3 linked regions of the Saccharomyces cerevisiae S288C genome follow. Changing the gene in region 2 together with the main gene of any one other region gives a genetic interaction. Each region holds a gene or a part of one and is shown on either strand. Other genes may lie near its edges. The genes, in order: YAL064W, HSP31 and GPM2.

The links.
Region 1: mutations in HSP31 (region 2) and YAL064W together harm fitness more than expected from each alone (negative genetic interaction), as found in Saccharomyces cerevisiae (one large-scale study listed by BioGRID).
Region 3: mutations in HSP31 (region 2) and GPM2 together harm fitness more than expected from each alone (negative genetic interaction), as found in Saccharomyces cerevisiae (one large-scale study listed by BioGRID).

Annotation. Positions count from the first base shown.
Region 1 is NC_001133.9:19,473-22,392, forward strand, and holds YAL064W (uncharacterized protein), read left to right. Parts: upstream 1-2,093; coding exon 2,094-2,378; downstream 2,379-2,920.
Region 2 is NC_001136.10:1,500,881-1,504,272, forward strand, and holds HSP31 (glutathione-independent methylglyoxalase), read right to left. Parts: upstream 1,281-3,392; coding exon 567-1,280; downstream 1-566. Other genes in the region: FIT1 (Fit1p), read right to left, coding at 2,434-3,392. UniProt on the Saccharomyces cerevisiae protein: Catalyzes the conversion of methylglyoxal (MG) to D-lactate in a single glutathione (GSH)-independent step. May play a role in detoxifying endogenously produced glyoxals. Involved in protection against reactive oxygen species (ROS).
Region 3 is NC_001136.10:412,216-415,388, reverse strand, and holds GPM2 (phosphoglycerate mutase family protein GPM2), read right to left. Parts: upstream 1,437-3,173; coding exon 501-1,436; downstream 1-500. Other genes in the region: stress-regulated transcription factor RPN4, read left to right, coding at 1-276; glycerol-3-phosphate dehydrogenase (NAD(+)) GPD1, read right to left, coding at 2,389-3,173. UniProt on the Saccharomyces cerevisiae protein: Could be non-functional.

The sequences.
Region 1 (2,920 bases), on a different chromosome or scaffold from region 2:
CGGTAATATAGTCAGATGAGTCACTACGAGTGTGTGTAGTAGCAAGTGTTTTACCTACGTGGCAGTAAGAGTAGCTCTATGGTTGTGTAATAGTGGTGCTTATTCCTAATGCTCTGAAGTCTGAAGCGGTACAGTTGGTCTGGTCTATATCATGGTCAAAGGAGCAAACATATCTTCTGAAGTGACCGCAAATAGTACTATGATGTGGTTGGCAATATAACTTAAAAGGAAATAACCACAAGGAATTGCACCCATGTACACAGTTTTTCCCGGAAATTGGGAAACCAGTACGAACATATATCAATTACTTTTACATTATCTTGATTGGAAAACTGGCACAATTGACTGTGACGTTAGTAGTATGTTGTTCTTCTCTACATCAGTTAAATATACGTGTCAACATCAACTAATCAACTTTCCCCCGTTTACCACATTGAAGCTGGGTGTGGAAGATTTATTTGAAGAAACTAAAACGTACCCTGTCATTTCCTGAGTCCCCTTTCAACTTAGTGTGAAAGCCGAACAATTATAATCCTCGGTAGACAACAGATTTATTGTACTAAAGTTACTCTTCCTGTTATCTTCCTTGATTTTACTGTTATAGCAATGACCCACCGCAATCAGGAGAGCCGCCGTATGGAATAGCATACCAAGTCATAAAATCGTCAACCTATTAACGGGGTTCAGGTTCTTTTTCAGCGTAGTAGCCCTTTAACAAGCGCTGACAAAGTTGACACTCAGAGAAAATTCAGGATTTATTGTAATCCAGCTACTCATCCTTAGATCCGCTTGCAGGCATGGTTTTTTTCACCTTGAGAGGCTATTTTGGGTAAGCCAGGAAGGCTGAAAAATCCCAAAAGGACACAGTAATAAGAAATTGTTGTTGTTGTATGATGCATTTAGAACTCAAAAGACGAGTTTCTGAAAATGCTTACAATACTCCATAGGTAACATGATTTTTTTATTAAAAAAGTATACTGTTCCTTTGGGTAAAAATTATGCAACCCTTGAGTGTCCGATGAAGATAAGACTACGAAACAATTTGCGGTAAATTTTTTCTGCTATTGACATTTACACATGCTCCAATCCATTACCCTTTCCATTCTCGTAATAAAACCTCGAACTGTTATTTCATATTTACATCTAGACGGGTATCGGCCTCAACAACTCCAAACAAAAGTAAATAGAAAAGAGCCAGACCTATCGCACCGGGTAGAGCCAGAAAATATTTTAAACTATAGTTGACGTATTCTACGGCTGTTGTTTAGGACAATACTTTTTCCTTCACAGGCTTCGAATTACGCACATGCAGAACTCCTGTAGAAACCACGAAGAAAAGTTTAATTAACTTTCAAATGCCAGAACTAAAGATTGATGAAACAGTTATACGAATTTAAGGGGAACTTGCTTTTTCCTTTTGCTTCATCATAAGCGCAATATTCGCAGCGGTGGCGTCGCGTCTTACCATTTATCGGCACATTTTTCCGAAAAGGAAGGAAAATGGCGGTGTCAAACGGTCTGGTGTGACATCTAGAAGTTCGGCATTGCAAGTTAATCTACGGGAAAAAGAAAATTTTCTTATAACCCTAATGTATAATAAGGTTTTCGGAGAAAGCAACTCACGGGGAACAATTGGTTAGAAGAGACCGTAGAAGCGCCCCACTAACCTGGAGTTGATTATCGAGGATCTTTCTCAGAAAAGCAGCTAATAAATGAGCACAGTACTCAAAAATTACTCATAGTATTATAATTACTTACTTAGTCAATATGGCTGCGCTTTTAAAATGAGTATCTTTTATTTTTTGACAAGGAAGAAAAAGATGCAAGCAAAGAGAAATTTACTAAGTACAAGCTCATTTCCAAAAATTCAGTTTGCCTGTAACAATGGGTAGCGATCTTCAACATATGGGATTATGCCTTGAATGAGATTTTTGAACGTAGAGGAAAAAATCGCAGACAGGCTTTATTGTGCTGTTTGACATAGTATACTCAGCCGTTGTGGTGTTAATGAATACTATCGATGTGTATACAAACGTACTTCAAATAAGCAATGCGAATATACTGCAACTTTTCGGCCTTTGCAACGATTTGTAATGAATCCTTTTGCATCGCTAGAAGGACAAGATAATATTTCTTCTGTTTTTTTTTTACATATGCAACAATTTGAAAGTCAGGTCAAAGACAGATTCCGGTTCCCCATATTCAGATTGGAGAGAAAAACTTTTGGCAACTCATGTTACCAAGTCGAGACGCTTAAAGTTAAGTGTCGGCCAAGACACGCAAAATCTTGTAATCTTTTAACGCTGCTCTTCAAATCACGGACGCAATCAGTACTTGTACCTAATTTTGGTTTTCTAATATTGAATAGCGAACCATAGGTCGAAAATTTAAGGCCACATAAATCCAGAGCCCGCAACTTGGATAGGTATTTACTTGATTTTTAGTTTGCTTTCAATAGTGTCGTGAAATTATAAAGTACGCCGCATATATATCTTGATTAGTTAAAAATAGCAGTGTTCAATGATGATTTGATAGGGTTCATAACTGGTACCAGCGTAGTACAATTACGATTATCCATGAACATAAAAGTGGTTTAAGTACTATATATCAGTGAAGCTTCAAAGTAAGCAAACGAGATACCAAGATCTTGTAGGACCACGATATATAAGAAGCCTAGTTCCGTTGTAGCATCACATAGAAGAGAGCGACAATGCCTCAGAAATTCTACAGCAACAGAAAGCACAGTGAGTCATTAACTGTTGGAATAAGACTCAACTGCGAGCTATCGACTAGTACTTATATTACTAGTATATTATATACGGTGTGAAAAGACGACATGAAGATTGAGGAAATGGTCCCAAGATCTAATGGACACTGAAATGCAAAAGTTGATAATGTAACATGAAAATTAAGGACAGCA
Region 2 (3,392 bases):
CATTCTGCCATAATTAACCTGAGAAAAAAACATTTTTCGTGATCATTTAGCAAGAAACCGCAAGGAACAGCTCACTAAGATGCAAATAACCATTAGATAACTGAAACACACCTACAATGTCCCACATGAATAAACCCTTTAGGAAGCATCGGCAGCTGACAGAAATACCAAAATGAAAAAAAAAAAATTTAGAAAGTTTTATGTATAGTTTTACATATTGCATAGATGATTTGCAGCGTAACGACGCTAATGCTTTCTTCTCCATTCTCATTGATATTAACGTTGGCTAGATAAATGCTGTGCAACGGAGTGGCTGAAAAATAAATTGTAGCACCTTGTTGGAGACCAAATGTAGTCTTCACTATTAACCTCTAGCTAAAGCAGATAAAAGATAAAGATTATAAACTTTGGTTATTGGAAGACCCATCTCAGACATGTGTTTCCCCAATATCCAAATATTTCAACGTATTAACAATGAGGTACATCCCTCGTACTCAATAACGCCTCCTAAAGTTCCTTACATCTATATAGTAGTACAAAGGAAATTCTAATTATCAACCTTTGGCTCAGTTTTTTAAAGCGTCGATGGATCTTACGGCAGTGGAGTGCGCAGAAGCAGGATTCACACCTGTTACCAGTCTTCCGTCAGTAATAGAGTAATCATCCCAGGGCCCAACCGGAGCTAAATACTTAGCGCCATATTTTTTAGCAACATCTTCAACGGTTGCCAAATTCTTGGCTTTCAAAATACTATCAACACCCAAAATGGTTTCACCAACATCAGTAAAACCGGTGATAGATTTACCTTCGATCAATGGTCTTCCTGTTTTTTTGTCTGTTAACCCATCAAAAATAGCAGGACCGTGACAAACAGCTGCGACAACACCACCGTTAGCATAAATTTCGGAAGCAATGTCCTGCAAGTCTTTAGCCTTAGGATAGTCAAATAAGGTACCGTGGCCTGCAGATGCAAAAAAAATTTGGTAATCATCGGCATTCACCTCTTTTGGTGTCTTAATTTTAGCCAATGTCTTGTTGAAATCTGAGTCTTTATTTTTAAAATCCGTTTCGTCTTGACCATTTAGAAAATCTTTGGCTAAGGAATGCTCATCCCAACCAAATTTTCCGGTTTCAGATACAAAATCGACTTCAAAACCTTCTTTTCGGAATGTGTTGAAGGGATGTAAGGCTTCTACAACAAAAACACCGGTCTTGGCGCCGTCACTGTAGAATACATCGTTATATGAGGTAAGAGCGAGTAAAACTTTTTTTGGGGCCATTATAAATTTGTTTGAGTTTTATCTGTGTAATTAGCCAGTGGGAAGTACTTAAAAATGCCGTTAATAAAATTTAGCGGATGATAAAGAAATGAATGGTTCTCCTTATGGCTGTTTATATATCTGATTTAAAGGGTAACGGAAACCGGAAGCAATAATGGAACCGTGAAGCCATCCCTTGAAAAAATTTTCCATTTCTTTCATGAAGACTATGTACATGCCCCTTATGCCAAGCTTTTTGATTTTCAGGCTAGGAATGAGTAACGTTAATTCTCTGTATACATTCGCCCAGATTTCTTTACGGGATTTATGGATCCGTCAGAACAAAAAGCCGCCTCCCATGGATATCCTGCGTATTAGTCAGCATTATTTCTTTTATTCCGTAGCAGCTAAAAAATCTCCTAGAAAGAACGATCCTATCTGTCGCAACGGTACGTCGTGATTTTTTTATGGGCTTATTCTTCCGAAAGTGTTCATTAAAGCATTTGGTGCATGTTTAATGTTCTATTTTTAATACACGTAGTAAACTTCGTGTTTTCTTCTCTCTGACCTAAATTATTACAGCCATATATAACTTTTTTTTTTAAATTCGGATAACTGGCACAGTACCAAAAGCTAAAATTTCTCACAAAAACATAATTATATGACAAACTGAACTACTCATTGCTACAGGTAATTTCAATAAAATGCGCTCAATGAAGTTGTGAATTTGCTTGCTTGTCTTTCTCGACCTTCTTTCAGTATTATACTCCATTTGAATCTGATCACAAACACGAAAGTTCATTTCTTGTTTTGAACTATAAAATCATCATGTCATTTTTTAACTTTTATTTTCCTTGGCGTCAGATAAAACAAATACCCACTCTCACCTTTTAAAAAGCAAGAAATAAATAAAATGGTTATTTTTGAAAAGTCATATTTAACAAGTGAAATAGACATTGTTTTTAGATTATTTTAATCAACACCTGATATTTTCTTGATATAATATTACATACTGGTACATTCTTATAGACAGCCAGTGTCACGCAGACAAATAACATTGCGGACATAAGCTTTATCAACTATGATGAAATACTTAATTCACAATGCCATTTTGAAAAGTAAGACCACGGAGAGATCAGAAAGGTTGATTCTGCGCATCTGTCGTTAGCAGAAATTACAAAAAGATAACGGCAGCGAGCGCAGCGCCCATCAGACCCGTACCAGCGGCGATAGAATCAGCCGCACCCGTGTAATTCACGATTTGAGGAGTTGTGGACGACTTACCGTTAGTGAAAATACCAGCGGTAGTGGTTTGAACTCTTGTAATAGAGGATACCATTTTTGTGCTTGCAGAAGAACTTGATGACCAATTGTTACTTTCATGGGTACGAACAGATTGGGCATCCCTAGAAGAACTCTCTGTGTAAGCTTGCCCAATTCTAGTAGGAGTAACAATAGTAGCGCTTGACTCAGAGGAGGTGGTAGTAGATGCTACAACTGCAGACGTGGATTTAGAATTAGAGGAATTTTCAGTAGTAGTAGAAGAAAAAGTTGGCACAACAGAAGAGGTTTTTGCAGCAGAAGAAGTCTCAATAGGAGAAGAAGCCTGGACAGAAGATGAAAGAGAAGTCTGAGTAGGAGATAAGCTTTTAACAGAAGTGGTCTCGATAGTAGAGGAAGAAGAAGAAGTCTCAACAGCAGAAGTCTCAACAGCAGAAGAAATCTCAACAGCAGAGGAAGTCTCAACGGCAGAGGAAGTCTCAGCAGCAGAGGAAGTCTCAGCAGCAGAAGAAGTCTCAACAGCAGAGGAAGTCTCAACAGCAGAGGAAGTCTCAACAGCAGAGGAAGTCTCAGCAGCAGAGGAAGTCTCAACAGCAGAAGAAGCCTCCACAATAGAGGCCTCAGTAGTGGAGGGAATTTCAATAGCAGAAATACTAGAAGTTGCAACGGTGGAGGCAGGAGCGCGTTCACCCTCACCAGTCCATACGAAAGTAGCGTCCTGGGTGACGGTCTTTGTGTAGACATGTCCATTTTTGGTGGCTGTAATAGTGGTAGTTATACTCGAACCAGATCCTTCATCAGTAGAGGCAGAAGGTTCAGCAACAGATGTTACTGGAGAAGCAGCTGTTTCGA
Region 3 (3,173 bases), 1.1 Mb from region 2:
ATAATGAATCTCATTACAAATGAACCGTGTGGTGCCCAATTTTCAAGGTCCTATGATTTAACGAGACACCAAAATACCATTCACGCTAAAAGGAAGATTGTCTTCCGTTGCTCGGAGTGTATAAAAATTCTTGGATCTGAGGGCTATCAGAAGACGTTTTCGAGACTGGATGCTTTAACAAGGCATATAAAATCGAAGCATGAAGATTTGTCGTTAGAACAACGTCAAGAAGTTACAAAATTTGCAAAGGCTAATATTGGTTATGTCATGGGTTAATTAAGGTTACAAATTATATAGGAGATAAAAGAAGAAAACCTCACACAAAATGGAAATACATATACACATCTATATATATTTACAATATATATCATATATCTGCATTCAGGAATGTTCTTATAAATATCACATTTTTAAAGTACCTCATTGGACTTATAATAAGTTTTCTATTGGTTTTCATTATACTTCGGAAAATACACAATTATATTATATACTTACCCCCCTTAAGGATTTTTTATGAAACCCTCATTACGGACTTTCTCAGCATTGATCTTAGCAGATTCAGGATCTAGGTAGAATTTTCTGATAAACTTAAGACCATTATTCTTATCTAATTCAACGACTAAGGGGATACCATTTGGAATATCAACATTCTTGATGTCATCATCTGATATACCCTCCAGAATTTTCAGTAGCGATCTCACTGAACTTCCATGGCCCACAATCAGGCATGAAGATTCATCATATTGATTGGCTAATTTTAATATGACATTTTGTAGAAAAGGATTCAATCTATAAACCACTTCACGAAGAGATTCGGAATCCGGTAATACAATGTCATGATTGCTGCATTCCAATTCATATTTTATTTGTCTGTTTGGCTCCTTGAATTCGTACCCAGTAGAAGAGCCCTTCTCATTTTCTTGTTGAATCATCTCACGGTCAAGATCTACAGGTGGTGGCTTACCCTCGTAATCTCTCCTAATGAACATATATTTATCCTTACCATATTCTTTTAAAACATTCGGTTTCCTCTGGCCCTGCCAGGAACCGTAATGACGTTCATTTAGCCTCCAAGTTTGAAGAATCGGGATTTTCATATTATCCTTGTCATCACTGCCAAATTCGTCTCCAAGTTTGATTTTATTAAAGTCGTAAACAACCTGCAGTTGTGGCTTTAACTTAAATTCTTCACACATCGTTTCTATGGTCTGTTGGGTCCTAATTAAACGTGAGGTGTAACCAATCTGGGGTAATCTCAAATTATTAGCTTTACAATATTGTTCGATTAGCTCGGCAGAATGACGAGCTTGTTCTTTACCTTTTTCGGTTAGCTTAGCGTCAATCCAACCACAGAATATATTCTCGTGATTCAATTCACTTTGTCCATGCCTTAACAAGAACAATGTCATGACATTGGATGGTGTGCTTGCAGTCATTGTTTACTAAGTTAATATATCTATATTTTTTTTATGTATTCTTGGGTTTAAATTGAACAACCTCGTATTTGGATGTGTGTCTCGAAACACTTCTACGTATATATATAAGCTACTTTGGATTCAAAGATAATTTTGTCACGTTTGTTCTGGTGGGAAATTTCAGCCAAAGGGAAAAAAAAAGAAAACGGTGAGCTCCGTATTATCTTCGTCGTGGGGTGATAACAACATGATGATAATCACCTATTTCGAAAATGAAAACTCTCCTTTTTCGAGAACAACCACGAGCCAACAAAAAAACAGACAAGAGGAAAACTTTTAATTATTTATAAAAACGTATATACTCATCATGACCATGCTATTCACATCTGAAATCATCGTAAGGAACTTTGTTTGCTATTGTTATTTTTTAAGAAACCCCTTATTTTCTTAGGACGCCGCAAAATATCTAAAAACCTTTATTGTGTGCACACTCAAACATATGCGCGCCACGTACTTGAATATAGATATTCCAAAGTACATCCTTGTCGAGCCTTGGGCAAGCTCTTTGGAACTTGTCCATTTCTTAAAGACATAATTGGTGAAGGTGTGGCACTTTGTTTATTATTTAAAATACACCCATACATACGGACGCCAGATGCTAGAAGCAACTGTGCCGACAGCCTCTGAATGAGTGGTGTTGTAACCACCCTCAAAAAATGCGGAAGAGGTGTACAGCTAATATTATAATGGAAAATCCTTTTGCTCTATAGGATTTTTTTTTTAAAATTTAAATATACATATTTATTTATATTTATTTGGTTACTAAATTTTGTATTAATTTAATAATAATAAGTAATTTCTAACGTGATAAAGTAGTTATGAGAAATGACATAATGCTAATTTATGAATATGATATAGAAGAGCCTCGAAAAAAGTGGGGGAAAGTATGATATGTTATCTTTCTCCAATAAATCTAATCTTCATGTAGATCTAATTCTTCAATCATGTCCGGCAGGTTCTTCATTGGGTAGTTGTTGTAAACGATTTGGTATACGGCTTCAAATAATGGGAAGTCTTCGACAGAGCCACATGTTTCCAACCATTCGTGAACTTCTTTGCAGGTAATTAAACCTTGAGCGGATTGGCCATTCAACAACTCCTTTTCACATTCCCAGGCGTCCTTACCAGAAGTAGCCATTAGCCTAGCAACCTTGACGTTTCTACCACCAGCGCAGGTGGTGATCAAATCAGCAACACCAGCAGACTCTTGGTAGTATGTTTCTTCTCTAGATTCTGGGAAAAACATTTGACCGAATCTGATGATCTCACCCAAACCGACTCTTTGGATGGCAGCAGAAGCGTTGTTACCCCAGCCTAGACCTTCGACGAAACCACAACCTAAGGCAACAACGTTCTTCAAAGCACCACAGATGGAGATACCAGCAACATCTTCGATGACACTAACGTGGAAGTAAGGTCTGTGGAACAAGGCCTTTAGAACCTTATGGTCGACGTCCTTGCCCTCGCCTCTGAAATCCTTTGGAATGTGGTAAGCAACTGTTGTTTCAGACCAGTGTTCTTGAGCGACTTCGGTGGCAATGTTAGCACCAGATAGAGCACCACATTGAATACCTAGTTCCTCAGTGATGTAAGAGGATAGCAATTGGACACCTTTAGCACCAACTTCAAAACCCTTTAGACAGGAGATAGCTCTGACGTGTGAATCAACATGACCTTTCAATTGGCTACAGATACGGG